6 linked regions of the Cricetulus griseus genome follow. The main gene of each other region encodes a partner of the protein of the gene in region 2 in a complex. Links are inferred from orthologs where the notes say so. Each region holds a gene or a part of one and is shown on either strand. Other genes may lie near its edges.

What was found.
Region 1: Exosc7 (region 2) and Exosc6 share a complex: the UniProt entries of both Homo sapiens proteins name them as parts of the RNA exosome core complex. The link is inferred for Cricetulus griseus from reciprocal best matches to the Homo sapiens genes EXOSC7 and EXOSC6.
Region 3: Exosc7 (region 2) and Exosc5 share a complex: the UniProt entries of both Homo sapiens proteins name them as parts of the RNA exosome core complex. The link is inferred for Cricetulus griseus from reciprocal best matches to the Homo sapiens genes EXOSC7 and EXOSC5.
Region 4: Exosc7 (region 2) and Exosc4 share a complex: the UniProt entries of both Homo sapiens proteins name them as parts of the RNA exosome core complex. The link is inferred for Cricetulus griseus from reciprocal best matches to the Homo sapiens genes EXOSC7 and EXOSC4.
Region 5: Exosc7 (region 2) and Exosc3 share a complex: the UniProt entries of both Homo sapiens proteins name them as parts of the RNA exosome core complex. The link is inferred for Cricetulus griseus from reciprocal best matches to the Homo sapiens genes EXOSC7 and EXOSC3.
Region 6: Exosc7 (region 2) and Exosc2 share a complex: the UniProt entries of both Homo sapiens proteins name them as parts of the RNA exosome core complex. The link is inferred for Cricetulus griseus from reciprocal best matches to the Homo sapiens genes EXOSC7 and EXOSC2.

The regions. Positions count from the first base shown.
Region 1 is NC_048596.1:187,461,463-187,465,817, forward strand, and holds Exosc6 (exosome complex component MTR3), read left to right. Parts: upstream 1-1,673; 5' UTR 1,674-1,749; coding exon 1,750-2,568; 3' UTR 2,569-2,992; downstream 2,993-4,355. Other genes in the region: Aars1 (alanine--tRNA ligase, cytoplasmic), read left to right, coding at 250-435. UniProt on the Homo sapiens protein: Non-catalytic component of the RNA exosome complex which has 3'->5' exoribonuclease activity and participates in a multitude of cellular RNA processing and degradation events.
Region 2 is NC_048597.1:230,058,216-230,062,909, forward strand, and holds part of Exosc7 (exosome complex component RRP42), read left to right. Parts: intron 1-2,976; coding exon 2,977-3,100; intron 3,101-4,224; coding exon 4,225-4,380; intron 4,381-4,694. UniProt on the Homo sapiens protein: Non-catalytic component of the RNA exosome complex which has 3'->5' exoribonuclease activity and participates in a multitude of cellular RNA processing and degradation events.
Region 3 is NC_048602.1:9,460,460-9,465,922, reverse strand, and holds the start of Exosc5 (exosome complex component RRP46), read left to right. Parts: upstream 1-2,219; 5' UTR 2,220-2,267; coding exon 2,268-2,415; intron 2,416-4,932; coding exon 4,933-5,046; intron 5,047-5,463. Other genes in the region: Bckdha (2-oxoisovalerate dehydrogenase subunit alpha, mitochondrial), read right to left, coding at 1,629-1,715. UniProt on the Homo sapiens protein: Non-catalytic component of the RNA exosome complex which has 3'->5' exoribonuclease activity and participates in a multitude of cellular RNA processing and degradation events.
Region 4 is NC_048595.1:373,625,386-373,630,329, reverse strand, and holds Exosc4 (exosome complex component RRP41), read right to left. Parts: upstream 2,631-4,944; 5' UTR 2,549-2,630; coding exon 2,378-2,548; intron 1,560-2,377; coding exon 1,353-1,559; intron 1,217-1,352; coding exon 857-1,216; 3' UTR 811-856; downstream 1-810. UniProt on the Homo sapiens protein: Non-catalytic component of the RNA exosome complex which has 3'->5' exoribonuclease activity and participates in a multitude of cellular RNA processing and degradation events.
Region 5 is NC_048595.1:98,137,815-98,143,148, forward strand, and holds the start of Exosc3 (exosome complex component RRP40), read left to right. Parts: upstream 1-2,002; 5' UTR 2,003-2,011; coding exon 2,012-2,359; intron 2,360-2,915; coding exon 2,916-3,065; intron 3,066-4,803; coding exon 4,804-4,955; intron 4,956-5,334. UniProt on the Homo sapiens protein: Non-catalytic component of the RNA exosome complex which has 3'->5' exoribonuclease activity and participates in a multitude of cellular RNA processing and degradation events.
Region 6 is NC_048599.1:143,391,388-143,396,714, forward strand, and holds the start of Exosc2 (exosome complex component RRP4), read left to right. Parts: upstream 1-1,951; 5' UTR 1,952-1,976; coding exon 1,977-2,098; intron 2,099-3,640; coding exon 3,641-3,742; intron 3,743-5,327. UniProt on the Homo sapiens protein: Non-catalytic component of the RNA exosome complex which has 3'->5' exoribonuclease activity and participates in a multitude of cellular RNA processing and degradation events.

The sequences.
Region 1 (4,355 bases), on a different chromosome or scaffold from region 2:
ATGTGTCCCAAGGCCTTCCTGTTGGTAGATGTGTTAACTACTGGCTGGTGCCTGGCATTGCTTTTTGTTCTCACCTTGACAGTGGCCATAGCTGCTCCCCTGTCGCAGCTGTAGAGTCAGTCTTGGCCTCTGGTAGCATCACCCAGGATATGAGTCGTGTTGGTGGCTCCCCTCCTTGTGGTGTCCCTCTGTTCCCCATCTCAATCCCATGTTCTATTCTAACTACCATTTCCCCTTCCTGTCTTCTAGAATGCAGCCAACCGAGGCCTAAAAGCCAGCGAATGGGTGCAGCAGGTTTCAGGCCTGATGGATGGTAAAGGAGGTGGCAAGGATGTGTCTGCCCAGGCCACAGGCAAGAACGTGGGCTGCCTCCAGGAAGCCTTGCAGCTGGCTACCTCCTTTGCCCAGCTCCGCCTGGGAGATGTGAAGAACTGACAGGAGAGAAGCCCTCACTGGGAAGCGTTTCCCCATCAAACAAATGTGTCAGAATGCAGGAGTGCACCCAGGAGCTCCCCTGCCATGAAGACATTTGAGTCTTGGGACCTTTCAGTCGCCCTATCCGTCCTAATCCAGCAGTAACTGGAACATACCTGGAGCTGTCCTGTGACTTATTGCCCCTTTCCGTTACTGCTCTGAGCCATACTGTCAGCACCATCTGTCTAGAATCACTACCCCAGGAATGCTGTTGAACATCACCGTGATCATGTCTAGATAAGACCACTCTGCCGACCTGAGGCTTCTAGGTCATCTGCAGGTAGGAAGCCTTTTTGTTGCAGAAAATAAAAAGGACCATGTGCAATACTTGATAAATGCATTCTACTTTTTCTCCCCGGGGTGGACCCTGACTCCCTGTATGTCTGCAGAATACAGGCTGCAGTTCCAGCTAGTTTCTGATTGAAATGATCACAGAATACATCCCTAGACCCCTGAACTTTAGGAGTGGCCCCTGGGATGGCAGAGACATAATGGAAGGGCTGAATTGAGGCATTCAATAGAGTGGGGAAGGTTTCTACAGAAATTCTCAAGTGGAAAAACACCTTTCTCAGTCTCTTGGGACAACCTCTTAATGCCTTGGACCATGTATGTCTCATCTCTACCTCCTTTTGAAGTTGCTGATATGAGGTCAGAAAACTAATATAGGAAGTATAAGCATGGAGGTGTCTGTCTCCCAGTAACTGTCCTATCTGTGTTTCTTAACCTAAAGTAGTTCAAGCCTGGCCCAGCCTAAAATGTAATTAGTCTGAGTCTACAAACAGCAGAGTCTGGAAGCAGTAGTGTGTGGGAGGTAGAGATGTTGCCTGCTCATGCCAGTTCCTCAGGGTGTTAGAAATGTACATATATGCGTGCGTGCGTGCGTGCGTGCGTGCGTGCGTGCGTGTGTGTGTCTGTGTACACACAGTATAGGAAGAGAAATTTCCATCAGTTTATTAAACAAGTGTTGAAGCCAGCTGGGGGACTGAGTACAGGAGTGAACAAAAAGCCCTGATGTTGTGCAAGTTTATGTAAAAAAAGAAAGTGTAAATGCAAAATTCAAGAAATAACCTTAACAGGTTAAGAGTCATTAAGATCAGGCCAGGTCACAGCGCGGGCCAAGTCCAGCTGTACCTCCTCCACACCTCTAGGTGGCAGTGCATCCACCTACCGCTCTCCCGACAGGCTGCGCGCGGGCGCGCCTGTTTTAAGTAAGCGGAAGAGCCGGTGCGCAAGGTAGCCCAGCAGGCGGAAGTGGCTCGTGCGCCGGTAGCCGCCATGCCGGGAGACCACCGTCGTATCCGCGGGCCGGAGGAGTCTCAGCCGCCGCAGCTGTACGCGGCCGACGAAGACGAGCTGCCTGCTGCCCGCGACCCGACGCGGCTACGGCCGGTGTACGCGCGCGCCGGGCTGCTGAGCCAGGCCAAGGGCTCGGCCTACCTGGAGGCCGGAGGCACCAAGGTGCTTTGCGCCGTGTCGGGCCCGCGCCAGGCCGAGGGCGGCGAGCGCGGCGGCGGCCCTGCGGGAGCGGGCGGCGAGGCTCCGGCCGCCCTCCGTGGCCGCCTGCTCTGTGACTTCCGCCGCGCGCCCTTCTCCGGCCCCCGGCGTCGCGCCCCCCAGGGCGGCGGCGAGGAGCGCGAGCTGAGTCTGGCGCTGCAGGAGGCTCTGGAGCCCGCGGTGCGCCTGGGGCGCTACCCTCGCGCCCAGCTCGAGGTGTCCGCGCTGCTGCTGGAGGACGGCGGCTCTGCGCTGGCCGCGGCTCTCACGGCCGCGGCGCTCGCCCTGGCCGACGCGGGAGTGGAGATGTATGATTTGGTAGTGGGCTGCGGCCTGAGCCTCGCACCGGGACCCTCGCCCACTTGGCTGCTGGACCCCACGCGGCTCGAGGAGGAGCACTCCGCAGCCGGCCTCACGGTGGCGCTCATGCCGGTGCTCAATCAGGTGGCCGGGTTGCTGGGCAGCGGGGAAGGCGGCCAGACTGAGAGTTGGACGGACGCGGTGCGCCTGGGCCTGGAAGGCTGCCAGCGCCTCTACCCAGTGCTGCAGCAGTGCTTGGTGCGAGCTGCCCGCCGGAGGGGCGCCGCCGCCCCGTCCTGATTGGAAAACCCGAGCAACAAGGATGCGGATGACTGCTGATGTCCTTCTTTCCCAAACGGCCCGGCTGCTGGTCGCCTGCCTTGGCCGAGCTGAGAAACGAGAGTGGGAGGCAGCGCGCACTGAACCGAAGCGCTGGACAGCTGTGTTGGAACGGTTTAAAGGGCCTTAGCAGCCTTACTCCCAAGTTGGAAAGGACTTCGGCTGGATTACCTGGTAAATGAGCTGTGTTCTTGTAAGGGATGGACCCTGTGCAGGCCAGCCATTGGCTCCAGTGTATGATAAACTGCTTCTTTTGAGAGGATGGACAAGGGACTTTGCCTTCTCACTACCCGAACTAAAACATAAAAACCTTTTTTATACCTGAAAATACATCTTGTGGCTTTTCTTGGTACTACAGTTAGAAACAATGCCGTTTTGAACTGGGCATGTGTTGAGTCTGTATTGCCAGTATTGACTGTATTGTCAGTACTATCTTAAATTTTCCTGTCTCTTAGCTCACTGTAAGTGAAAAGGAGTAACGTGCTTTAGAGGAGAAACCTCCTGCCCTAGGAGCAGTGTCTGAGGTGAAAAGACCGAGGAGATGTCAGAACAGCCAGAGCTACACAGAGAAACCCTGTCTCCGACAAAACGACAGGAGAGTTAAATAGCCTCAGAAATCTGGGTGCACACCTATCCTCTCCTTTGAAGCACAAGATCATGTCTAGGAGTTGGGTAACTGGAAAGGATTATGCTCTAGAAAGAAGCCCTGTCACTCCCTTCTTTGGCCAGTAGGGTAGCATAACTGGAGGTTTCCATGACTTTGCAGAAGTGATAGTGCAGACCTTTAAAACCCAGCACTGGTGGGGCAGAGGCAGGTGGATCTCTGAGTTCTAGGGCAGCCAGAGCTACATAGAGAAACCCTGTTGCAAAAAAGGAAAAAAGAAAAAAAAAAGTGGAGTCCTGGTCTGGCTTCATTATATGGTGTCTCCTGTCCAGTCTTGGCTAGGGCAGCAATGAACTACGAGGAGGAAGAACTCCTAAAAACTGTGGCACATTTACAGCCTGGCTATTCCTTAGGCAGAGCTGGCTTTACTGACCAGGAGTGTAGGGTTCCTGATCTTCACTGAGGCTGAGTTGAAGGCAGCTGTGTATGACTGTTACAGGTAACTATCCTAGAGGTCTGTTCAGCCTCTTATGAGGACCTCATAGGAGCCCCTGACCAGGAGGGAGAAATACATTTTTATTTTTTTCCCTTCTGGCATGACTCTTTGTAGAGCAAATCTGAAGTTAGTATACCAGTGAAAATCAAGATTAAAAAAAAATGACATAAAACTTATCTGCTTATTTTGAAGAGTAGCTTATGGCTTTGTAGGGCACATTGTGGTGGCTTTAACCAAAAGGGGCTGGTTAGGTAGGTACACACATAATCTCACAGTTCAGTGTCAGTGCAGGGACACAAGTGTGTTTACTACTGTGGCTGAAGAAAAGAGCTTCCACACCAGGTTTAGTGGTGCACGGGGAAGGAAAATAAGCAGTCTGCATTCATTCAGTGAGGGCTAATAGTGCTCTTTGGGTTCAGGGCCCTGTCGGGGTCCTCTTGCAAGACTGAGGATGGTGAGATACTGCTGGCTGTGGGACTTTCCTACCCTGCCCACCCCTGGACTCATGGAAAAGACCTCAAACGTTAAACCCACAACCACTGGGAGGTTTTCTGGGTGGGTTGCCAGAACCATGCTTCCACTTGCATTGCCCTAGCCCCAGGAAGGTTACTTCAGGTTGCATGGGTGTGACCAACGGTCTTCCAAAAA
Region 2 (4,694 bases):
CTCTGACCTCTACACATGTGTAAACATGCACGTGCACATGCACAAAAGAAAACTTTGAATAAGTGAGCAAATATGTTTATTCTGGAACAACCCTCATATTTTATGGTGAAAGTTGAACAACCTGAGTCTCATAACATCAGACATTATAATACACACAGCAGCATTTTTAGAGGCTTGTGAACAAGGAAAACTACTCACAAAATGAAACTTTCACATCCTGTTAGATAGCTCTTCTGCTTTGATTTTGACTGTTGTGTTTGGTATGTCTGGGAACATTTCTAATGGTCACTATCTTTAGTTTTCAGTGCTCATATTATGGTCAGTGTAACACACAGAGATTTTAGACCCTTTCTGTTATGTTGACTACAGAACAAATAAAAACTAAGTTAAACTTTTTTTTGCAAGATAAATTATTCGTGAGACTAGGAGCTGTAGTGCCCTCTACTCGATTGTGCCCTGTGCCACTGGACTCTGTTAGACCCTCTGAGAGGTCCAGACACTCCACCAGGAAGAGAGTTTGCATGCTAGAGCACACCACCACCAGATCTGTGTGTGTGTGTGTGTGTGTGTGTGTGTGTGTGTGTGTGTGTGTGTGTGTGTGTGTGTTAGACCTTATGAGAGGTGGTCCAGACACTCCACCAGGAAGAGAGTTTGCATGCTAGAGTATACCACCACCAGCTGTGTGTGTGTGTGTGTGTGTGTGTGTGTGTGTGTGTGTGTGTGTGTTAGACCTTATGAGAGGTGGTCCAGACACTCCACCAGGATGAGAGTTTGCATGCTAGAGCACACCACCACCAGCAGCCAGGCTTTGTGGAAATGGGAAAGAAGGTTGTCATCAGAAGTGGCTTAGCCTCTGAGATGAGTCTTCTTGGCTAGCTGGTTCGCATGGGTGCCAGGGAGTTGGGGAAGCTGTTTTGCTGTGAGGGAGTCCTGAGAAAATGGATGTCAGCTTGTGAAACCTAGCTACCCAGATCACGAACAGCTATCAGTCTCACTCTCAGGCAGCAAGGAACAGTGACCCCATGATGCCCTTGGATAGAAGATAGAAAGAACTTTGTACATTGAAGTCCTCCAGAAGAGTTGATGCCACTCTGTCTTCCCCAATCCTCTGCCTATGTTGGGCCCAAAGAATTAAGAAATTAAAAGTTCTCTCTCTTTCTCTCTCTCTCTCTCTCTCTCTCTCTCTCTCTCTCTCTCTCTCTCTCTCTCTCTCAGCCACCTTCCTCTTACTCCCCCCCCCCCCGTGTGTGTGTGTGTGTGTGTGTGTGTGTGTGTGTGTGTGTGTGTGTAAATATACAGACGTCTATTTTGGCATATCAGTCCTGTTTCACACTGCTTACTGCCCACTTCAAGGAGGATGTCACACTTAGTACTCTGAGGATGTCACACTGAGCACTCTGAGGATGTCACACTTAGCACTCTGAGGATGTCACACTGAGCACACTAAGGATGTCACAATAAGCACTCTGAAGATGTCACAATGAGCACTCTGAGGATGTCACACTGAGCACTCTGAGGATGTCACACTGAGCACTCTGAGGATGTCACAATGAGCACTCTGAGGATGTCACAATGAGCACTCTGAGGATGTCACAATGAGCACTCTGAGGATGTCACACTTAGAGCACTCTGAGGATGTCACACTTAGAGCACTCTGAGGATGTCACACTTAGAGCACTCTGAGGATGTCACAATGAGCACTCTGAGGATGTCACACTTAGCACTCTGAGGATGTCACAATGAGCACTCTGAGGATGTCACAATGAGCACTCTGAGGATGTCACAATGAGCACTCTGAGGATGTCACACTTAGAGCACTCTGAGGATGTCACACTTAGAGCACTCTGAGGATGTCACACTTAGAGCACTCTGAGGATGTCACAATGAGCACTCTGAGGATGTCACACTTAGCACTCTGAGGATGTCACACTGAGCACACTAAGGATGTCACAATAAGCACTCTGAGGATGTCACAATGAGCACTCTGAGGATGTCACACTTAGCACTCTGAGGATGTCACAATGAGCACTCTGAGGATGTCACAATGAGCACTCTGAGGATGTCACAATGAGCACTCTGAGGATGTCACACTTAGAGCACTCTGAGGATGTCACACTTAGAGCACTCTGAGGATGTCACACTGAGCACTCTGAGGATGTCACAATGAGCACTCTGAGGATGTCACACTGAGCACTCTGAGGATGTCACAATGAGCACTCTGAGGATGTTACAATGAGCACTCTGAGGATGTCACAATGAGCACTCTGAGGATGTCACACTGAGCACTCTGAGGATGTCACACTTAGAGCACTCTGAGGATGTCACACTTAGAGCACTCTGAGGATGTCACACTGAGCACTCTGAGGATGTCACAATGAGCACTCTGAGGATGTCACACTGAGCACTCTGAGGATGTCACAATGAGCACTCTGAGGATGTCACAATGAGCACTCTGAGGATGTCACACTGAGCACTCTGAGGATGTCACGCTTAGCACTCTGAGGATGTCACACTTAGAGCACTCTGAGAATGTCACACTTAGAGCACTCTGAGGATGTCACACTTAGAGCACTCTGAGGATGTCACAATGAGCACTCTGAGGATGTCACACTTAGCACTCTGAGTCCCTGACACAGAAGCTCTAGCCTCAACTTTTGACAGGTAGCGAGGATGTAAACAAGGTGGAGTTAACGAAATTCCTGCTTATAAAAAAAGAATTTCGCTGGGTGTTGGTGGCGCACGCCTTTAATCCCAGCACTCGGGAGGCAGAGGTGGGTGGATCTCTGTGAGTTTGAGGCCAGCCTGGTCTACAGAGCTAGTTCCAGGACAGCCTCCAAAGCTACACAGAGAACCCCTGTCTCGAAAAAACAAAAACAAAAACAAACAAACAAAAAAGAATTTCGGTTCCTGATCTCAAAAAAGGTTATGGTTCCTCCTTCCAGGAGATGGAAATTTCAATCATGCCTCTGTTCCCAGGATACCACGGGTTCGTGTTCTGGAGGATGAAGAGGGGGCAAAGGACATCGAGCTGTCTGACGATCCTTACGACTGTATCCGCTTGAGTGTAGAGAATGTGCCCTGCATCGTCACCCTGTGCAAGGTGTGAGCTTGTCTCTTAGCATTCTTGCCTTCCGTGGGGAGGCGGATCTCTTCCAACCCTAGGCTCTTGAGATTACTTCATAAGCTGAGAGGCTGTAGTTGTGCAAACCCTACAAATGTAGCTTTAACCCACATCTCATCATTCGGTTCCATTAGGTACAGACGAGTCCCAAGGGAAGGCTGCTTCATTAGCAGTCTGGCTGTCATGGTCCCTCTGCAGGCTCTGCACTCTATTGCACTGCTCATTTTCCATTAACTCCCTGTACTCCAGAGTCCAAGGTAGCTGAACACCGGTAGGTTCTCAAACAGTATTCCTCTATGGACCCTGATGTCCACATACAGGAACTGAGGGCTTGGGGCCAGTCCTAGGTGACACATGCCAAGTATAGTTTGCACGGAGCCCAGAGGTTTTCTGACTCTGACATCTGGCATAGCCTCAGGCTTGTGTTGGCTGGGATTGTGACTAATTCCACAAGAGACTCGTTATATAAAAATGAAGCTGAGCCAGGTGCAGTGGCTCATGTCTATAATTCCAGAACTCAGTAGGTGGGGACAGTAGGACTACTGCAAGCTTGAGACCAGCCTAGCCTATATATCAAGTACCTCGTCAGCATAGCTGCACAACAAAGACCTTGTTTCAAAACAAAACAAAACCAAAATCACACATTTCAGTCACTTAATACCACTGGAAGTTTTTTGAGAACTGAGATTGTAAAGAAATGTTCACAGGGCGTTGGGACTAAACAGAGCTCTGGAGGGTGGCATTATTTTGTATGTCCCTTAGCTGGGCTTTCTGGATTCACTGTTGGAGTGAACAAGAAGCCGTGGGGCCTCACATATGCATTTCCTGCCTGTGTTCCCTGTGGGAAAGCCTGGTGGTCTCTGTCCTGGTGGACTCTCTGCCCCCAAACTGCTTGTTGACATTTTGTCTTTTTATTATATTATTCACACAATGGACCATATTAACAATGTTGAACATTCCTTCCAGCATTTTCCAAACAAGCAGAATTTAAAATAAGATCTGGAACGAGCCATGCATGTACAGCCTTTGTAGGCTTGTGTCAGGGGGATCTGGGATCTCTGGTCTACTGTTCACATGTATGTTAAACAGCCCTGATCTTGCAGATTGGCTGCCGGCATGTGGTGGATGCCACACTTCAGGAGGAGGCCTGCTCCTTGGCCAGCTTGCTAGTGTCAGTGACCAGCAAGGGAGTTGTGACCTGCATGAGGAAGGTGGGGAAGGGCAGCCTGGATCCTGAGAGCATCTTTGAGATGATGGAGGTAAGTCCATGGTGCTGGGGCAAGCCTGCTTAGGGCAGCATGCTGCCTCCTACCCCTTCATTATCCATGTGTCTTCCCCGTTCACATCCAGGACCCCAGCTTAGGGCTGGGAGAGCAGTGGGTAGAGCTTTGGGGCTGGGGTCAGGCCCTGCCAGTGACGGTGTTTATCTTCAGCAAGTCTCTCCTCCTCTAATCCCCAGTGGCTGCACTTTGGTCTGAGAATACTGACTTTGACCATGTAAAGAGTCACCTAACTCTATCACAGGATGAGGAATTGAATTATTTTTTTCTTCCATTTTTTATTTAAATTAGAA
Region 3 (5,463 bases), on a different chromosome or scaffold from region 2:
CAGAACCCAATCACTCAACCAGTCCTCTTTTCATGGGCATTTTACTTTAAAACCCTCTAACCAGGCATTTCCAACAAGATCTTTCTTTCTCCACACCCCATTTTTTTTTACAAGATCTTTTTGTTTGTTTGGGTTTTTTCATTGTTGTTGTGTTTTGGGGGTTTTGGATTTAGGCAGGCTTTCTCTGTGTAGCTTTGGAGCCAGTCGTGGAACTCACTCTGTAGACCAGGCTGGCCTGGAACTCACAGAGATCCACCTGCCTCTGCCTTCCGAGTGGTGGGTTTAAAGGCGTGCTCCACTACTGCCCAGCTAAGACCTTTCATTTATTAAGAGATGATCTCACTGTGTAGCTCTGGCTAACCTGGAACTCTACGTAGACCAGGCTGGCCTAGAACTCACAGTAGATCCACCTGTCTCTACCTCTTAAGTGCTAGGATCAAAATCCTGCATCTCCACCCCAGGCACTTGATTTCTTTTTTCAATCTTTTAGGGTTTTTTTTTTTTTTTTTTGAGTCAGGGTCTCATATAGCTCAGACTGACCTCAAATTCCTGACCTTCCTGGCTCTACCCAACAAGTGCTGGGATTAGTCATGCCTGACCATACCCAGAGCACATGAGGTTAGGAGTCAAATTCTGGTTGTAGCACACGCTGGGCAAGCACTCTGTCACTTAGCTACAGCACCAGACCTCCATACCTGCCCTCAGCAACAATGTATCAAAAGGGACTCTCGAGTTTCCTCAAGTGTTTTCAAGAAAAGTGGATCTCCAGGTGGGAGATTGAGACAGGACTGTCTCTAGTGCCATGCCAGTCTGGGTGGGACTCGGAGTGTGTTAGTTAAAGGCCATCTTGGACTACTCAGTGAGATCCTGCCTTAAAAAATAACATTGACAGGGGCTGGAGAGAGACCGACTGCTCTTCCAGAGGTCCTGAGTTCAGTTCCCAGCAACCACATGGTGGCTCATAGCCATCTATTATGAGATCTGATGCCCTCTTCTGGTGTGCAGAGATACATGGAAGCAGAATATTGTATACATAATAAATAAATAAAATCTTTTAAAAAAAATATGGGCTGGAGAGAGATGGCTCAGAGGTGAAGAGCACCGACTGCTCTTCCAGAGGCCCGAGTTCAGTTCCCAGCAACCACATGGTGGCTCACAGCCATCCGTAATGAGATCTGGTGCCCTCTTCTGGCAACAGGCATATGTGGAGGCAGAATGCTGTATATATAATAAATAAAATCTACAAAAAAAGGAATAATTTTTAAAAAACAACGTTGACAAAGGGTCCTGTGTGGATTTCTCCCTTCATGACATCAACCAACATACCCCGATGGCCTGTGACAGTGATCGCGCCCGGGCCCCCGCCTTCGCTTCTGATCGGGGACCGCAGGGGTCCAATCAGCTTCTTGCTCACCCAGCTTCACAAGTGGAGTTTTAAGTAACGGAATAAAGAAACGTGGGGCTGATCCTGGCCCACCCCACCCCCGGTTTTCTCCCTCTTCCCCTGACTCTTCTCTCCAAGGAGCGTCCGCGTCCTTTTCTTTCCTTCACGACCCGCACACACCGTAAGAGCAACCTCTGCGTCCGCAGCCACCTCGGGAGGGACCCCGTGGGGCCCAGGTACTTACGGATCTAGCCAAGCCCCGCGCCCCAGGCCGCCGCAGCGACAGGAGAGCAGCCAGGCCCCGGCTCTGTCTCCACATCGCCGCCGCCATCTCGCTCGATAGCCACGCCTCCTCTCTCCCCAGCTGGACCCGGGGCTGCCCCACCAGATGCCGTCCTCAAATGCCGGCACGGTCGGGCCAACAAGCGACTTCACTCCCACCGCCGTGAGTCCAAGACACGAACCTAAGTGCGCGTGCCGATTCTGATTATCCTCCGCCGTGGCTCTAGCCTTCCGCTTATAGCGGCTCCGATATCAGGCAGGAAAGGGACACCCTGACCACAGGCTCACGGGTTGAGGGCCGGGGGGCCTTGGGCGAGGTGGGCCTATTCCAAGACCCGCCCCCTCTCCTTTCTGGCCCAATGGCTTTGCGAGAATCGGGAGGCGGAGGCGGGGCGGGACCAGATTGTTAGTAAACGCTCAGCCACGTGCCAGGGACGAGTCAGGCGCCGCCCAGGCTGGCGCATGCGCAGCGGCCACGCAGCCGCTGCGAGCCGGGCCCGCGAGCCGGCGAGCCCGCGAGCGAGCGAGCGAGCCAGCGCGCGCGTGCGCACCACGGGGGCGGAAGCTACGGCCGCAGGCGGGGCGCGCGTGCTCGGCGGCGATGGAGATCGCGAAGCGTGCGGACGCCGAGCTGGGCGCTGGCACCGCCGCGGAGCCCGGCCCGCGGAGTCCCGGCTGCAGCCTCCGGCATTTCGCCTGCGAACAGAACCTGCTGTCCCGGCCGGATGGATCTGCTTCTTTCCTGCAAGGTAAAAAGAGCCTGATCCCCAGCCCCACTGTGGGGGGCTTGGGTTTCTTGGTTTTTGGGATTTTGGGGGGGACAGGGTTTCTCTGTGTAGCTTTGGAGCCTATCCTGGCACTCGCTCTGGAGACCAGGCTGGCCTCGAACTCACAGAGATCCGCCTGCCTCTGCCTCCCGAGTGCTGGGATTAAAGGCGAGCGCCACCAACGCCTGGTGGGGTTTGTTTTCTTTTCTTTTTTTTTTTTTTTTTTTGGAAGAGCGGTTACCGTGTAGTGTGCAACCGAGTGCGCCCATCTCTTTGAAAAGAAACGAAAAAACTATTTCTAGATACGTAGGAGGGGTCCACACCTCTTCCCCGACTCGAAAAAACAACCAAAAAAATATTTGATACGTCCAGCCTGGAAGGAATCAGGGGCAAGAGCACGCCCTAGGAAGAGTGGATATTCCAGAACAGGTGTAATTTCACCAAGGCGAATAGGCCCCTTGACTAGATTTCCTTCCACACACTTCTCCTGGATCGGTACACCTCCGGTTGAGGCTAAGGTGTTCGTTTGCATGCATTCCCTTTGAGAAGGACTTGTCATCGCCGCTGGGTCAAGTGCGGTGACAGCAGCAGATGACTTGGTCCACGCGAATGCCCTTCACATTGAACGTGATGATCCCCATTCTGGACCCACAGGTATCTCCCCTTCTCCCATCCCATCATTTGAGTAAATGTGTCTGTTGCTTGGTGTATTCATCTCATCAGTGTAAGTGATTGTAGAGAGAAAAGAGGCGTCTCACGACTGACACCCACACAACCCTGCCTCCACCCAATGCCGGTCAGCCAGCTTTGAGAGGTCGTGGGAGTGTGAGGAGCTATCAAAAGTAGACAGATTGGGCCGGGCGTTGGTGCCGCACACCTTTAAATACCAGCACTTGGGAGGCAGAGGCAGAGGCAGGCGGATCTCTGTGAGTTCTAGGCCAGCCTGGTCTCCAGAGCGAGTTCCAGGACAGCCTCCAAAGCTACACAGAGAAACCCTGTCTCGAAAAACCAAAAAAAAAAAAAAAAGATGCCCCAGCAGACTACCCTACAGGCCAGTCTGATGGAGGCAGTTCCTCAGTTGAGATTCCCACCTTTCAGATCTGTCTAACTTGTGCTGAGTTGACAAAACTAGCCAGCGTAGTATCTTCACTTAAAAACAGGATTCATAAAAATGGGGTACGTTCCCCAGGGAGGTAGAGGCAAGGCCAGGTTCACTCAGCTACATAGCAGGTTCAAGGCCAGCTTAGACTGTCTAGGGCCTGATCCCAGAAAATCCAACAGTGAAAACCTACAGAGCCCATGAGCCTGTCACCTGCCTTTGTTGGCTAGCCATCTTGTTTTTTTGTTTTGTTTTTCCCTTTGGACTTTGCACATGCTAGCATCCCTAACCCCTTGGGTTTTGTTGTTTTGTTTTTGTTTGTTTGTTTGTTTTATGGCTCTCCCTGGTGCCTGAGGAGGTCGGAAGAGTATGTTGGGTCCCCTGGAACTGTGGTTACAAACCTTTGTGAATCGTCTTCTACAAGAGCGACAAGTGCTCTTAATTGCTGAGCCATCTCTCCAGCCCACCTGTGATTCACTTATACACATGCATTTACCAGTTTGGAGTTGTGGTATAGAGTGTATTGGTCATTGGGCATTACGGTCAAAATCATGTGGAAACCACTGTTTGAGTGCAGTGTCTTCACTTTGTAGATGGCTTCTCTGTAGCCCACAGAGGTTATCAAAATCACACAAGGGCCTGGAATAGGCAATCAGGGCTAGAAGCCAGGCTTTTTTTCCTCCAGACCCATTTATGCCATTCTGGGAAAATGAGCAGAGATTAAGATCCCTACCCAACGCAACTACAGACCCTTTTTTGTTTGTTTTTTGTAAGGCCTTTTAAAATATTTTTAATAGTATATATTAATTATATGTAACAATGGATTTCTTTTTGGTTGGTTTATGAGATAGTCTTGTGTAGTTCAGGGTGGCCTCGAACTCAGTATGGAGCCAAGGATGACCTTGAATTCCTGACCCTCCCGTCTCTGCCTCCCAGACACTGGGAGGATATACGTGTGTGTGCCTGTGTGTACGGGTGCCCAAGAAGGGCAGAAGAGGGTGTCCATACCTTGGAGCTGAGTTACAAGGTGATTATGAGCAGCCTGCGGGTGCCGGGAACTGCATTCTAGGCTTCTGGAAGAGCAGTGTGGGTGCCGACCTGCTGAGCTATCTCTCCAGCCCCAACTGCTTCTAAAAACTCACCAGTAGCTGAAGTCTGGGCTGGGCTCTGGACTCACTGGCCAGCATCCTGTGTTTCAAGTATCTGTATCTTTTTAAAATGGGTATTTATTTGATCTTGTTGTGTGACACTGAGAGACTGGGCTTACTGCTTCTGTGAGCCACTGTCATGTGATCTTGACAAAAGTGCCTCGAGGGAAGGACTGCAGTAGTCTCCAGTTACAGATGAGAAGGCAGAGAAGAGAGTTGGTGTGGCAGAGGCCTCTGCTGATGTCTCCCCAGGTGACACCTCTGTCCTGGCTGGAGTGTACGGGCCAGCCGAGGTGAAGGTCAGCAAAGAAATCTTCAACAAGGCCACACTCGAAGTGATCCTGAGGCCGAAGATCGGGCTGCCTGGTAACTGGACTCAGCCAAACCTCCCCAGATGCAGTCTGTTAGGGCTCCCTGCCGCTTGCTTGGTCCAGGCTCCGCTCCCCTCCGTCTCTGCCCAGCTCTTTGTTTCATTTTAGTCCTTGCTGTACTGGGAATGGAATCCAGAGCTTCACTCCTGCTAGACTGATGCTCTTCCAGGGAGCCACACTTCTGGGCTCTCACTGGTGGATTCTGGTCATGCCTTCTTCTGCTAAGCTTAGGCCTCCCGGGTCCTCACTGGTGGGCTCCAGGCAGGTGTTCTAGTCCTGGGCCACGCCACCAGCCTTTTACCTTTTGAGACAAGGTCTCAAGTTGCCTAGGCTGGTACCGAGCTCCCTGTAGCCTAGGCTGCCTTCAAATTTGTGATCCCCCTGCCTGAGCGTCTCAAGTCCTGAGATTACA
Region 4 (4,944 bases), on a different chromosome or scaffold from region 2:
GAAAGTTGGTATACTACCACTGGCTAAACCGAGGTGAGTGGAGTACAAAGTGAAAAGCATATTGCTTTTGTCCAACCACAAGGCACCTGCATAGTGGGCAGAAGACAAAGAGGTGGATGAAGGCAGTTTGTCTAAATGGTGCAGAGGTAAGGATAGATGGCCAAGAGGCAACCAGAGCTTGTTATTATTTTAGAGTCCAAGTGGTAGAAATGGCCCAAGAAGATTCCTGAGGAAAGATTTCAGGCCAGTGGTTCTCAACCTTCCTAATGCTTCAACCCTTTAATGCAGTTTTTCATGCCCAACCATTCATAAACATAGTTTTGCTGTTATGAAGTTTAATGTAAATATCTGAAATGCAGGATATCTGATATTTGTCCCCCAAAGGGTTGAGACTCTCATGTTGAGAACTGCTACATTAGTCTAGCCTTACACCTCTATGATAGGCAAGCATAGCCAGTTGAGTTCTACCTCAGCCTTGTGCAAAGGTCCCAGATGGGCTGGATGAACATGGCATATTCCTTAGTGTGAGGGCTTAAATACTCTTTTTTTTTTTTTTTTTTTTTTCCGATTTTTTCAAGTCAGGGTTTCTCTGTGTAGCTTTGGAGCCTATCCTGGCCCTTGCTCTGGAGACCAGGCTGGCCTCGAACTCACAGAGATCTGCCTGCCTCTGCCTCCCAAATATTGGGGTTAAAGGTATGCGCCACCAACGCACGGTGGGCTTAAGCACTCTTGCTCTTCCTAGCACAGGTAGGGGCATTGCTACATACTCTGCTTTGCAGGGCTCTGAGCTGCTCTGTATAATAAGGTGTGTATAGCAGAGGAACAGGCCTTTATTTTGGATATGGGTGGTTGGCACTCAGTCCCCCAGTAAGATAGAGGCCTCCTGCACATGCTGCCGGACTACACGATCCAGCAGAGTGTGCACATCTCTGGCTGCTTGGGCAGCAGCCTCTAGAACCTGCTCCAAGTGGTCTTCATGCAGCCTTGAATCCATCTCAAGCAGTGCAATCTGGCCTGAGGCTGGCAATAGGGCCAGGGCTAGCTGGGGACCTCCAGCTGCTTCCTCCACATGGCTGAGGTCCGACAGTGCTGTGCCATCCACAAAGCCAGCTGAGCATGCACATACAAAGTCCCGCATGGGTATCCCAGCATCCATCACTGCCAGCGTGGCTGCATTTACACATGCTGCATAGGTTCCACCATCTGCCTGCAGTACCTGAAGGGGCATCAGGACATGAGACTCACATCTCAACCTTCAGCATGTCAGGCCCACCTCATACAGCCACCCCACCCCCACCCCCGAGCCCACCCACTCCTGGTGGTGGAGGGGTTTGAAGCTGCAGCTAGCTCACCTGCACATAGATGTCAATCTGAGAGCGTGGGTGCAGCTGTGTGAGGATGGCTGCCTCAAAGGTCTGGCGTAGTTGCAGCCCCATCTCACAAGACTTACGGTCCCCATGAGGCCTTCGCTTGCGCTCACCAGTGCTGAAGGTTGCTGAACTATACTGACAGTTCACTAGAGCCCGGTCAGGCAAGGCTCGAGACCTGGAACCCCGGATCTGGAGGAGAAATGAACACAGGTGTCAGGCCTACCTCCTGGGTCACACTCAACCCACAGGACTCAACCTTTCTCCTCCTCTTCCTCTAGTGCTTCAGAAAACAGCGGCTACCTGGCTTCCAAATCAAATCCTAGCTGGAGGGAGGCTTTTCAGACTAAACCATAAGTTACCTTTGGCAGGCAACTCTTTGTTCTACAGTAGCTCCATTTCCTCCCAAATTATTCCCATTGTGGCCACCACATTTACAAACATCTGGTCCGTGTCACCTATACACTAATAATTTACCTATCTACCAGGGGCTCCCCATTACATGTAAAACAAAGTCTCAGTTTCCCGACTTTCAAAGTCTTGGGTCCACCCCCTTGGTAACTACTCAACTTTACTTGATCTACTGCCTCTCTACCTACCAATAGTCGGCCCTGATGTGTTCTATACCCGACTATCACCCTGCCTTCCGCCTAGAAAGCTGAACTCTCATATACCAACCAAACTGTAAAATGTGCGTGTTTTGCTGGCCTTGACACAGCACTGAGACACAGCAATAAAGGTAGACAATTACATCGAGAGTCCCTGTATTGGGAATTTATGTTCCAGTAGAGAAAGAAGCGACGCGGAAGACTCAGTAAAACCGATGTAGTTAGTAAGCGCAGACAGGCAAATAGTGTTGCAGTGGCCTGGGGAGCTTCTTCCCGCCAAGAAGTCAGAATAATGAGCTGAGAAAAGGGGGAGTGAGTGGAGCTTCGCCAGGCCGGCTGAGGCACCTCAGAGACTATGAGGGCCCACTGGCGGGAGGAACCCGCGCCCGGTCTCTTACTCGCCTCGTGAGGCCCGTAGACCACCGCCAACGCCTTGGTGTTGCCCTGCTCGATATAAGCCGAGCCGTCGGCCTGCGCAAACACGCCCATACGCGCTTGGATCTTGCGCAGCTCGCCCGCGCGCCGACCGTCTATCCGGTAACCCTGGTCGGACAGGAGCTCCAGTCCGGCCATGTTGTACGACCCCAGCTCCGCCTCCCAGAGCACAGCGCTTTAGGACTCCAGCTTCCACGACCCATAGCTTCCGGCGGTCCGTACCTTTTTCGGTCTCGGTAAACTACAGCTTCCGGAGAACTAGTCCCTTTCCGGTCCGATGGAACTACAGCTCCCAGCATTCTCGGCTTTCTAAATGTACGGGTCTGGCCGAGTACAGAAGGCCCGAGCAGAGCGTTTTGCGGCTTCTCCCGGGTCGGTAAAGGAGGAAGGCACTGAAGACGGCCTTCTCCTTCTGGACGTCTTCGGTTTGTTGGAGACTCTCTTCCCAGCGGAGACATTTTTTTGGTCTTTTTTTTTTTTTTTTTTCGAGACAGGGTTTCTCTGTGTAGCTTTGGAGCCTGTCCTGGAACTAGCTCTGGTAGACCAGGCTGGTTTCGAACTCACAGAGATCCTTCCGTCTCTGCCTCCCAAGTGCTGGAATTATAGGCGTGAGACACCACCGCCCGACTTTTTTTTTTTTTAAGATTTATTTATTCTATGTACAAGTGCTCTGTCTGCATGCACTTTATGCCAGAAGAGGGCATCAGACCCCTCTATAGACGGTTGTGTGCCACCATGTGGTTGCTGGGAATTGAACTCAGGAGGAGGAGTAACCAGTGATCTTAACCTTTAAACCATTTCTCCAGCCCTGGTCTTTCTTATTTTTTAGTTGTATATTTTCATTTTTATTGTATGAAATTTCTGTTCGTTTCTTGTTTTTTTGAGACAGGGTTTCTCTGTTTAGCTTTGGAACCTGTCCTGGAACTAGCTCTGTAGACCAGGCTGGCCTTGAACTCACAGCGATCCGCCTGCCTCTGCCTCCCGAGTGCTGGGATTAAAGGCTTACGCCACCAACGCCCAGCTAGCAGCTGCATGGTTGTATAGCAGCTTTTGGAGTTCTAATTCTTTTTTAAGATAGGATCCTTTAGTGTTCACCTTTTTTGGAGTGCTTCAACTCAGAAAATATGAAATCCAATCGTCCTGAGGTCTCTTTGTTGTTGCTTTTTGGAATCTGGATGTGTATCTCAGGTTGTTGTGGTTGCTTTTTTGAGTGTTTAATGTATTTCAGGTTGGCCTTGAACTGGCAGTCTTCCTACCAGAGCCTTTCTAGTGTTGTGATTATGGGTGGGGCCACAACGTCCGGCTTGGATTGTGTTTTTGTTGTCTCCTTCATACCTATGGGGTATATATAGCAGGTTGCATTCCCACCACTTCCTCTTTAACTGCCCCATGTGTCCCAGGGGCTTATAATTAAGTGACACAATTCCTGGCAGAGGGCTTCTGAGTCTGGATTCCAAATGTGTTATCTTTCTCACCCAGGGTAAATAATGATGTTGTGGTGGTTGTTTGTGGTGTGTGTGTGTGTGTGTGTGTGTGTTAAGATAGGGTCTTGCTGTAGCCCCAGCTGGCTTAGAACCCAGAGATCATGCTGTCTCTGCATACTTAGTGCTCCACCACACCTAAAAAAAAAAAAAAAAAAGCTATTTGTGTTCATGCTTGCATGCCGAGTTCAGAACACAACTGTGGAATCAGTTTTCTCTTCCCACCTTTATATGGGTTCTAGAGATTGAATTTAGGTTGTGAAGACTTGGTGGCGAGTGTCTATCCAATGGCCTGTCTCGATGGTTCCTGATGTTGTTGATGTTATAGATAAAAGACAATACAGATGCATAGAAAGGAAACTGGGTTGAAATTACCCTTCAGATGGGCTGTATTAGGAAAGTTATGGCATCATTGTTACAGATTGCAATGATGAGGGAGAATAAACATTCCAATTGTTTGTTGTGGATTAGCAGAGTTAGAACATCACACTAGCCAGGTGTGGGGGTAGCACACGCCTTTAATCCCAGCATTCAGGAGGCACAAGCAGGAGGATCTCTGTGAGTTCAAATCCAGCCTAGTCTACAGATGGAGTTGAGTTCCAGGACAGGCTCCAAAGCTACACAGAGAAACCCTGTCTTGAAAAGCAAACAAACAAAAATCCTGAGGCAATTCAGTATAACCACCTGTGGTAAGGACCAGCAGTACACTAGAAAAACAACCCAATCCAACAGGGACAACAGGTGCTGGGATCACCCTGGGGTGCTGGACAGGGCTTCTGAGGGTCAAGAGCTGAAGGTGGCTCATCCAAGCCGCATCAGCAGGGCTGACTCCTATTCTCTGGTGCTCAGCCATCATGAAAGCACAAACACTGTGATGAGGTTGTTAGGGTCTCTGTGGTAGACTATTTCTCCAGCCCAACACAATATATCCAGCCTATCTGCTTTCTTATAGGAAAATGTTGACAATCCTCTCACTGAGGTGTGGGGTCCATGTCCCCCACACTGGTTTTGTATGTCTTGGGAAGTTCATCTTTGGGACCCAACCATCTTCTC
Region 5 (5,334 bases), on a different chromosome or scaffold from region 2:
GCCCTCCTGCCCTCAACACAAAAGCCTACATAGCCTTTGTTTTAATCTGCCAGGGTTGTATCAAGTTAGGAGGGTGAAGAAGTCAACCATTTTGAAAATTCACTACTTGCTACCTAGCCATGGCCCACTCCCTAACTGTCTAACAAGCTGACTGCAGCACAAGTTGTCCTTTCATTGGTCCACTACACCCAGGGATTAAACAGCTTGCCAGCATCTTGCCAAATTTGGAGGAAATATAGTCTGTTGACTGTCCTGTCCCCAAATCTAAAAATTGGAGTTGGCAGCAAGAAATGAACAACTGACATAGCTCAAGGTCAAGGCCCTCTGTACTGCTGGAGAATTGAATAAAATACTCATTGAAGATACCAACTGAGAGAAATGCTTGTTTCAGATAACTCCAAAGCCAGAAAACTTTAAGTTCTTAAGTTCCTGAATTGTGTGTGGGTCTGGGATTTAACAGTTTTTTATCTCGCTGTTAGTGAAAGGACTCTGACCATCTCAAGTATGGCAAGCATGGCTGTGGCAAGCTTTATCCTCCCCCCACCCCATTCCTTCTGCCTTGCTAAAAACCGTTAGATCACATCCCTAAAGCTACTCCCAAGGTCTATTCCTTCATTTGGCTACTTTCTCCTTCTGAGACTGACTACCAAAGTCCAGCTATCAAAATCCCCCTTTGGTTCACCTAATTAACATGCCCAATCTAAATATATGCTAGCATCCTAGTCTATTTTGATGCAGACCTCTTTTTTCCCTTCTTAAAAACTACACCTTCAGGCTGGAGAGATGGCTCAGAGGTTAAGAGTACTGACTGTTCTTCCAGAGGTCCTGAGTTCAATTCCCAGCAACCACATGGTGGCTCACAACCATCCGTTATGAGATCTGGTGCCCTCTTCTGGTGTGCAGATATACATGGAAGCAGAATGTTGTATACATAATAGATAAAATCTTTTTTTTTTTTTTTTTTTAAAAACTACACCTTCAAAGTTACTTGCTGTTTTTCTGCCCGAGTCAGAAAGCAGCCACTTTAATTTTTCTTCCCTGATTAATAAAGGATCTCTCTGTGAAATAGGTGTTTGAGGAGTGTGTGCTTCTAATCCGGTCCAGGAGAGAGCCCCCTGCCCCCCCATTCGGGCTTTCCTTCAATTGGTGTGCTCCAAAAGAAATAGGGGCAAGAATTGTTCTGAGTTACTGATTTTCCTAAGCCATGTAGAGATAACTCAAGTAGGTGAAAAGGTGTGATATGTGTTGCGCGCGGGGGTGGAGTGGGGGTGGCGGGGGGGGAGCCCTAGAGTGTAATACACATAAGTGTTACATCTATTATGTACAAATGATAGGAACTACAGCTGAAAACACAGCAAAGGAGACAAATGAGTAAGACTTCCGTTGTTCTTTCTTTTTAATAATTGATTTTTATTTCATATGCATTGGTATTTTGTCTGCATGTGTATCGGTGTGAGGGTGTTAGATCCCCTGGAACTGGGGTTACAGGCAGCTGTGAGCTGCCTTGTGGGTGCTGGGTCCTGTGGAAGAACAGCCAGTGCTCCTAAACCATGAAGTCATCTCTCCAGCCCCTATTGTTGTTCTCCCATTCTTTATATTTTACAGAATTTAAATTGGTAGCAACGTCCAAACAAGTCATACTTTGCAAACCCTTTTTTCCCAGTTAAAATTTCAGCCACCTTTCTGTAGGCTGAATGGAAAGTAAAGCCTCCAAACCCAATACCCAGGGGCCCTTAGTTCCAGCACCCGTAGAGACTAAGCCGAAAGACCTGACACGGGATGTGAGGGCTCCAAATGAACTCCAGCTGGGCGTCTCTTTCACCCACCCGCGGAGAAACCACAGGGTGGGTGGGCTGATAGCTCAGATACGGGTGTTTGGGGGTGGGGAGGAGGGGGTACCGAAGAGAGGATGTGACTGGTTGGCGGTCTGAAGTCTATTTCAGAAAGCCCACAAAAACCGGAAAGGGATAACCCTGGAGGGCGGGCTCTTGGATGCGGAAGCGGAAGTAAAATGCCGGAAGCTGCGACGACTCCTGCTATGGCTGAAGTACTGTCGGTTGGGAAAGAATCGGTGGCCGGCTGCCGGGCGCGGGTAGCGCACAACGTGCTGAATCAGGTGGTTCTCCCTGGGGAGGAGCTGGTGCTGCCGGAGCACGAGGACGTAGACGGCCTTGGCGGCGCCGGGGAGCAGCCTTTACGTCTGAATTCGGGGGCGCGCCCGCGGCTGCGCGTCGTGTGTGGCCCGGGTTTACGACGCTGCGGGGACCGCCTGCTGGTCACCAAGTGTGGCCGCCTGCGCCACAAGGAGCCCGGAGGAGGCGGCGGTGGCGTTTACTGGGTGGATTCTCAACAGAAGCGGGTGAGCGGACGTTGGAGAGGCCGTGCTGCTGCGATAGTGGAATCCCAGTTCTGGGAAGACTCCCTGCAGCGGGGAGGAGAGGATGAGCTCAGCCTAGAGCCGCGGTGGCTTCTAGGTCCCCTCTGCATCTTCTTTAGAGGAACCACAGTAGAAACACAGCTTGAGAAGGGAGAAAGGAGAAAGGGGCTAGAAAGTAGGAAGCCGCAGGCGTGCCATGTGGAGTCCCAGTTTCAGTGAGTCTAAATAACAGGGAGTTAAATTATTCGTAGAGTAAGAGCTTTCATGTAGAAGTGTCTAATGGGTGGGTTTCCTTGACTGTAAGGATTCTTGTGCCGCCGGATGTATAAAAGATGCTGAAGTATGAAACCTGACTCAGGTCAACTACGGATTAGAGACAACAAAGTTGGATTGGTGCGGCCCGGTTTTGTAGTCCCAGCTACCTGAGGAATATGAGTTGGGAGGATTGTTTGAGACCCATCCTGAGCAACCTTGCTAAAACTTACTGCATATATGTTACAGTAGTCTTTTATGGTTGTTCTTTCATTATGTTTTGCAGTACGTACCCGTGAAAGGAGACCACGTGATTGGCATAGTGATTGCTAAATCTGGAGATATATTCAAAGTTGATGTTGGAGGGAGTGAGCCAGCTTCTTTGTCTTACCTGGCATTTGAAGGAGCAACTAAAAGAAACAGACCGAATGTGCAGGTAATGATGGGAGCCTTTGGTTTCAACAATAAGGCAAAAATAGCCACTCCCCAGAAATTTAGCTGCCCAGAGGACTTCCTGATTTGTCTCCAAAGCATAAACTATCCTTCAGATTCTCCAAGATAGTTCCTTAGGCGCTGCAGCTCCAGAACCAGTGCTGTGTTCTTGGTTCTTCTCTCCCAGGTTGAAGGGTTATGTTTGCTTCCCCTTGTTACCTGTGAGGTTCATATCCATATCACAAGGAAAGTGTCCCTAGTCTAAGGGACACTGGTACTGTCAGTCATCTATCTCTTCATCTTGGCTCTGAATCCTTGGAGCTGACAGAAGAGTGATCTTGTTACTACAGGATTTCTGGTTGGTTTAGCTGTATCCTTCCTGAGGATACATGTGAGCCAGAAATTTGATGGCATCTGTGCTACTTTTCTTTCAACTCTCACAGGTCTTGAGTCATTTGATCTTATTTGTTCCATCTCTTGTCTTTTGCATGCCTTATCCCTTTGTGTCTATGAGTTCAAGCATTTGCTCATTTTTGACAAAACTGGGCAGCAATCTCATTAACATTCCAGCTTCCATCTGTTAATATCCTCATGTTGACATTCCCTTTTTAAAGGTTTTATATGTGTGGATTTTTTTAAAAAAAGATTTAAGTATATGTGAATGCTCTATTGACTTTATGCCAGAACACAGCATCAGATCCCACTATAGATGGTTTTGAGCCACTATGTGGTTGCTGGGAATTGAACCCAGGTCCTCTAGAAGAGCAACCAGTGCTCTTAACCACTGAGCTATCTCTCCAGCTCCCATATTCCATTTCTTAACAGGAAAAAAAATGTTCAAATCATAGAGAATTCATTGGCATTGTGCCCCAGGGGTCTTCCCTCATATTAGCACTTCATGCTAATATGCTTAAGTTTCACAACACCACTGAACTTGGTTCCTTTGGGTCTTTAGTAATGGTGCTCTTCTGTCTGGATTGCAGTCTCTCAGCCTATGAGACAGACATCCATCCATTGAGATCCAGGCTAAGCACGACTATGTAAAGTCATTCATCATCATCACTTTTCCTGTATCTTTACCATGGTACTGGATTTATTCTTGAACTTGTCATGAGTTTATTCATTCTTGTTGCCCTGTAGAAGATCACATGTTCTTGAAAGGCATAAAGTGTCTTATGATTCATTCCCTCTAAGTTTTGTAGTCACCCAAAATGGTGGGTACTTAAATATTATTAATGTATGCATATCGAGGGTGTTTTGGCTCTATGTATGTATTTGCCCTCTATATGACTGATGCTTGTGGAGGTCAGGCAGGAAGGTCGGGTCCCCTGAAACTTAAGTTATGAATGGTTGTGAGTTGCTAGGAGGGTGCTAGGAACCAAACCTGGGTCCTTTGCAAGAGCATCAAGTACTCTTAACCCGTGAGCCATCTCTCCAGCTCTCAACAGTGGGGATTTTTAATGTTGAAATTCATTCTGTTTCCTCAGCTTCATCATTTTAAAGTTCAGTTTTGTAACATTTTAAATCTAGAGCTGGATGGTACTGGTGCACACCTTTTATCCCAGCACTTGGGAGGCAGCAGCAGGCAGATCTCTGAGTTCGAGACCAGCCTGGTCTACAAGATCTAGTTCCAGGACAGCCTCCAAAGCCACAGAGAAACCCTGTCTCAAAAAACCAAAAAAAAAAAAAAAAAAAAAAGGATTTCTGGATGAAGGGAACTTTTCTGCTTTTCTGTCTTATAGGTTGGAGATCTCATCTATGGCCAGTGTGTGGTTGCTAATAAAGACATGGAACCAGAAATGGTCTGTATTGACAGCTGTGGACGGGCCAATGGAATGGGTGTGATTGGACAGGATGGTCTGCTCTTCAAAGTGACTTTGGGCCTAATTAGAAAGTAAGTTATGATACTTGTTAACTGCCCTCCTTTAATGAAAATTTAAGCTAGGTGGTGGTGGTGCAGACCTTTAATCCCAGCACTTGGGAGGCAGAGGCAGTCAGCTCTCAGTGAGGTCGAGGCCAGCCCTGGTCTACAAAGAGAGTTCCAGGAATGTATCACAGGGAAACCCTGTCTCCAAAAAACAAAAACAACAATAACAAAATAAAATAAAATAAAAAAGATACCCTGGAGCTGTAGTGAGAGATGGTTGTGAGCCACCATGTGGGTGCTGGGAATTGAACCTGCTGCCTCTGGAAAAGCAGTCAGTGCTTGTAACCATCTCTGCAGCCTTTTTTCTAGTGCCTTTTCTGATGTCACACTTCAAGTTCACGCTGGC
Region 6 (5,327 bases), on a different chromosome or scaffold from region 2:
CCACAGCTGACTCAACAGTAGTCTCTAGCTGGCTTCCTCTAGGAACTGCTGCTCAGTGACCAGGTCATTGACTTCCTGGTAGGGTTGGCTTTTTTGATAAATGTAGTTGTGATCACTGGTTAAGGTAAGGACTGCTGACCCTTTGGAAATTTATAAACAATTGACCAAGTGAGTCTTCAAGAGGGAGACAACCAGATTTGGCTTAATTTTCTTTAGGGACCCATTTGAGTAGAGAACTATGTTGCTGATTCTGTGAGGTTGAAATTCAATGTGCTGAGGCAGGGTATGGTGGTGCAGAGGCAGAAGCAGGGACAGAGGGACAGAGGGGCAGAGGGGCAGAGGGGCAGAGGGGCAGAGGGGCAGAGGGGCAGAGACAGAGTCAGGCAGCTCTCTGTGAGTTCAAGGCCAGCTTGGTCTACCTAGCAAGTTTAGGCTAGATAGGGCTACATAGATAGACTTTGTCTAAAAACAAACAACAAAAGACAAATTCAGTAAGCCTCAAACCTCGAAGCACCAGGGGAAATGGGGGTTAGTGAATGGTGAGGAGAAGGGCCCAGGGAAATGCCTCTGTTAAACAGAAGGCTCAAGTAAAGCCACAGGAGACAGCTGTCTTATTTTCCATTCACTACTGAACAACCGATCAGAGAGCAATCAGCTAGATATGTGAGTATAAGCAAAGATCTTTGTGTTGTGTGTACACATGGCCTCCCTACCAAATACACTTTCCTTGCCACACGTGGCTGGCTTTCACAACAGTCATCTTCCAAAAGAAATACTCTCTATACTCACTCAGAAGAGGTCCTTACTAAACTACAGTGAGAGCCATGGGGGCAAATAGGCAAGGACCCAAATCAGCACCTAAGGGGCAGCTCTAACATAGAATACAAAGCCCATTAAGAACAGTATTCAAAATGCTCTACCTTCTGCTCAGGCGGTGTTTTCTGTAAATCTTGCCTCCAAGTCCTGATCTCTAGCCTATAAAACACTAGACTGTAGTGGTTTAGAGTTGGATGGAAAAGCTTGAGGTTCATCTCTCAATCTCCACACTTGGCCAACAATAAATAGAATGATGAATATGGAAAAGTTTGGGCAAAAATGTATACTACAGCTTGTCATGATGGTTCACACTTGTAATCCCAGCACTTGGGAGGTGGAGGAGGAGGAGAAGAAGATCAAGAATATCCTGGGTTATACAGCCAGTTTGAGATCATCCTGGACTACATGAGACCCTGTCTCAAAAAAAAAAAAAAAAAAAAAAAACTAAACCCAGGGCTGGAGAGATGGTTCAATGGTTAAGAGCATTGCGTGCACTTTCTGAGGACCTGGTTTTGATTCCCAACATCCACAATTCGGCTTACAAACATCCGTAGCTACAGTTTCAAGGTATCTGATACTCTTTTTTGGCCTCTGTGGGCACCAGACACTCATGTACAAAGGCATACATATAGGCAAAACTCTTATATACATAAAACAACAAACCAATCAAAATCGAAAACCACCACCACCACCAGCAGCAGCAGCAGCAGCAGCAGCAGCAGCAGCAGCAGCAGCAGCAGCAACAAAAACTCAACCTATTCAAACCTGTGTAATCCTAGCTCTTGGAAAGTGGAGGCATAAGATCAGGAATTCAGCAGGGTTATCCTCGACTACACAGAGTTTGAGGCCAGTCATACACGGGACCCTTTCTCAAAATAAAACAAACAAAAAACCAAAACCAGCATCCCGACGCCAAATCAGATCAACATCATACTCCACTACAACGAGATAACTTATTATTCCACAGGTGCTTCCTTGCCAGTAGTAAAAATGGCAGCTTGGTGCCCTCCTCCCTCCCTCAGGTTAACTTAATAGTTGCCAATAGTCAAAATGGCCGCTACACCATGCATTTCTATTGGTCGCCGCTCTGAAGGTGGGCGGAAGTTGCTGCGCCGAGACTAGAGAATAGAGCTGCGCCTGCGCAAGTCATTGGCGCCAAGATGGCGATGGAGATGAGGCTTCCTAAGGCTCGCAAACCTCTCAGTGAGAGCCTGGGCCGCGACTCTAAGAAACACTTGGTTGTACCGGGGGACACGATCACCACGGATACAGGATTCATGCGGTACGTGAGGATTTGGGGGACCCAAGGCCCCAGGAGGCGGCTGCGGAGCTCTGCACGTGGCCTCCTGTCCCCTGGTATCTAAGTTACCGAGTTACCCGGGTCACATCCAGCACCCACAGTAACCCTCTCCTTTCCGAGCCTCGTGCTTCTGACTCCCTTCTTCTTGGGTGAACCTGTTTCAGCCCATGTTTCCCTCTGATCTATGGCGTCCGAAACTTTTGAGTCCTCAGTCTGAAGCAAGGTTTTTGAGCTTTCCTGGGGAGGGTTAACTGTGGAGGCTGGGAGCGGGACCATTCTTAGAGCCCCCTGCAGGGACAGTGGGCGTTGCTGGTTTGGTCACCTCCCTCGGTGTCACCTCAGCAAGGAGGCTGGTTTTAAAGCAGTGATTGGGGTCCGGGGGTTGAGCCAACATACAGTGCTTGAAAGGCAGACATCGTGTGGTAGTTAGGGTAAACTCTGGAGCTGGACAACTGCCATCATTATTGTTATCAGTAGCAGTAGCACCTTGCTAAATTTGGTATCCTTACCCTGAAGACAGTGGTGACGACCGCAGTTGGTAGGGTAGTGAGGAACTGGAGAGGAAGGCAGAAAAGCAAAATCCACCATTGGATTACCACCAAAGATAAATCTGTGTTAGGTAGCCAGTCTCTCCCCTCTCACTCTGAGAAACGGTCTCACTATGAAACACTACTGGCTGTTTTGGAACTTAACTGTGTAGACCACTCTGGCCTGGAACTCAGAGATCCCCCTGCTTTTTCCTTCCAAGTTTTGGGCTCAAATATGTGGCTACCACACCTGGTTCTCCTTCCCTTCCTTTCCCCTTCCCTTTCTTTTTTTTTTTTTTTTGGTATAAATGAGGTTAAAGTGTTTATAACATTGCCTGTAAGCTTTAAGGTTGAGATTAATGGATAGTAGAGATCTTAGGATTCATTCCGTCATACTTTCAACATATCTTGTGTGGTTGAGGTACAAAAGTGAAAACCTGTGCCCAGGTGGTATTTATAATTTATCTAGCAATGAGACAGAAACAAGAAATGCCATTAGAAAGTTTTAACTGCAGGGGCTGGAGAGATGGCTCAGTGGTTAAGAGCACTAGCTGCTCTTCCAGAGGACCTGGGTTCAATTCCCAGCACCCACATGGCAGCTTGTAACTGTCTGTATCTACAGTTCTGGGGGATCTGACACCTTCATACCACTGCACATAAAATAAAGTTAAATAAATTATATATATATATATATATATATATATAATATATATATATATATATATGGGAGTTTTAACTGCAGTGGATCAGGGGAGCAGCTGGGAAGAGGGTGGGTGAGACAGCAGTGGGAAGAGCTCCTGTGTTGCCTGGGAGGAAGGTTGTTGGAAAGTGACATCTGAGTTGACCTGTTTAGGTTGAAGGAGATGCCGTGTAGCTCTGAGGAGTGCATCAGGCTCAGGGCAGGAGGAGCCTGTTAGCTTCAAGAAAGTTCTTCTAGATGGGAGAGGTCACCTCCAGTATGACATGGTATTTTTTCTTTGGTCTTGTCCTTCAACAGGGGCCATGGAACATACATGGGAGAGGAGAAGCTCATTGCGTCTGTGGCTGGCTCTGTGGAGAGAGTGAACAAGCTGATCTGTGTGAAAGCCTTGAAAACCAGGTGAGCACGGAAGGAATGGAGCTCTTTCTTAGAGCATCTGGGTTGCACACAGGTCTCTTCCATCTCCCCACACTCCACAATCTGGCCTGTTACGGGCCTGCTGTGTTGAATTCAGCTGTTTGTCATAGTTAGCTTCAGCTGCCAACTTGACATAAATCTAGAGTTAACTTGGTAAGCAGGAACCTAAACGGAAGAATTGACTTCATCAGATTGGTCTGTGGGCATGTCTGTTGGGAAAGCCCAGTCCATCCCTGGGCAGGTGGGCCTGGGGAGTGTAAGGATGCTGGTTGAGGGCTGTTTTCCAGTCTGGATGTCTGTTTCCTTCATACATTTTAAGGTGCCATTAGTAGAATTTGTGCTGAGCTTATCCCAGAGTGTGACCGGAATCAAGGTTGATAGTGCAAGGTTTTGGCCTAAGCGTGGGAGGTTGGGTGTGTGTGTGTGTGTTGTGTGTGTGTGTGTGTGTGTGTGTGTGTGTGTGTGTGTGTGTGTGTGTGTGTGTGTGTGTGTGTGTGTGTGTGTGTGTGTGTGTGTGTGTGTGTGTGTGTGTGTGTGTGTGTGTGTGTGTGTGTGTGTGTGTGTGTGTGTGTGTGTGTGTGTGTGTGTGTGTGTGTGTGTGTGTGTGTGTGTGTGTGTGTGTGTGTGTGTGTGTGTGTGTGTGTGTGTGTGTGTGTGTGTGTGTGTGTGTGTGTGTGTGTGTGTGTGTGTGTGTGTGTGTGTGTGTGTGTGTGTGTGTGTGTGTGTGTGTGTGTGTGTGTGTGTGTGTGTGTGTGTGTGTGTGTGTGTGTGTGTGTGTGTGTGTGTGTGTGTGTGTGTGTGTGTGTGTGTGTGTGTGTGTGTGTGTGTGTGTGTGTGTGTGTGTGTGTGTGTGTGTGTGTGTGTGTGTGTGTGTGTGTGTGTGTGTGTGTGTGTGTGTGTGTGTGTGTGTGTGTGTGTGTGTGTGTGTGTGTGTGTGTGTGTGTGTGTGTGTGTGTGTGTGTGTGTGTGTGTGTGTGTGTGTGTGTGTGTGTGTGTGTGTGTGTGTGTGTGTGTGTGTGTGTGTGTGTGTGTGTGTGTGTGTGTGTGTGTGTGTGTGTGTGTGTGTGTGTGTGTGTGTGTGTGTGTGTGTGTGTGTGTGTGTGTGTGTGTGTGTGTGTGTGTGTGTGTGTGTGTGTGTGTGTGTGTGTGTGTGTGTGTGTGTGTGTGTGTGTGTGTGTGTGTGTGTGTGTGTGTGTGTGTGTGTGTGTGTGTGTGTGTGTGTGTGTGTGTGTGTGTGTGTGTGTGTGTGTGTGTGTGTGTGTGTGTGTGTGTGTGTGTGTGTGTGTGTGTGTGTGTGTGTGTGTGTGTGTGTGTGTGTGTGTGTGTGTGTGTGTGTGTGTGTGTGTGTGTGTGTGTGTGTGTGTGTGTGTGTGTGTGTGTGTGTGTGTGTGTGTGTGTGTGTGTGTGTGTGTGTGTGTGTGTGTGTGTGTGTGTGTGTGTGTGTGTGTGTGTGTGTGTGTGTGTGTGTGTGTGTGTGTGTGTGTGTGTGTGTGTGTGTGTGTGTGTGTGTGTGTGTGTGTGTGTGTGTGTGTGTGTGTGTGTGTGTGTGTGTGTGTGTGTGTGTGTG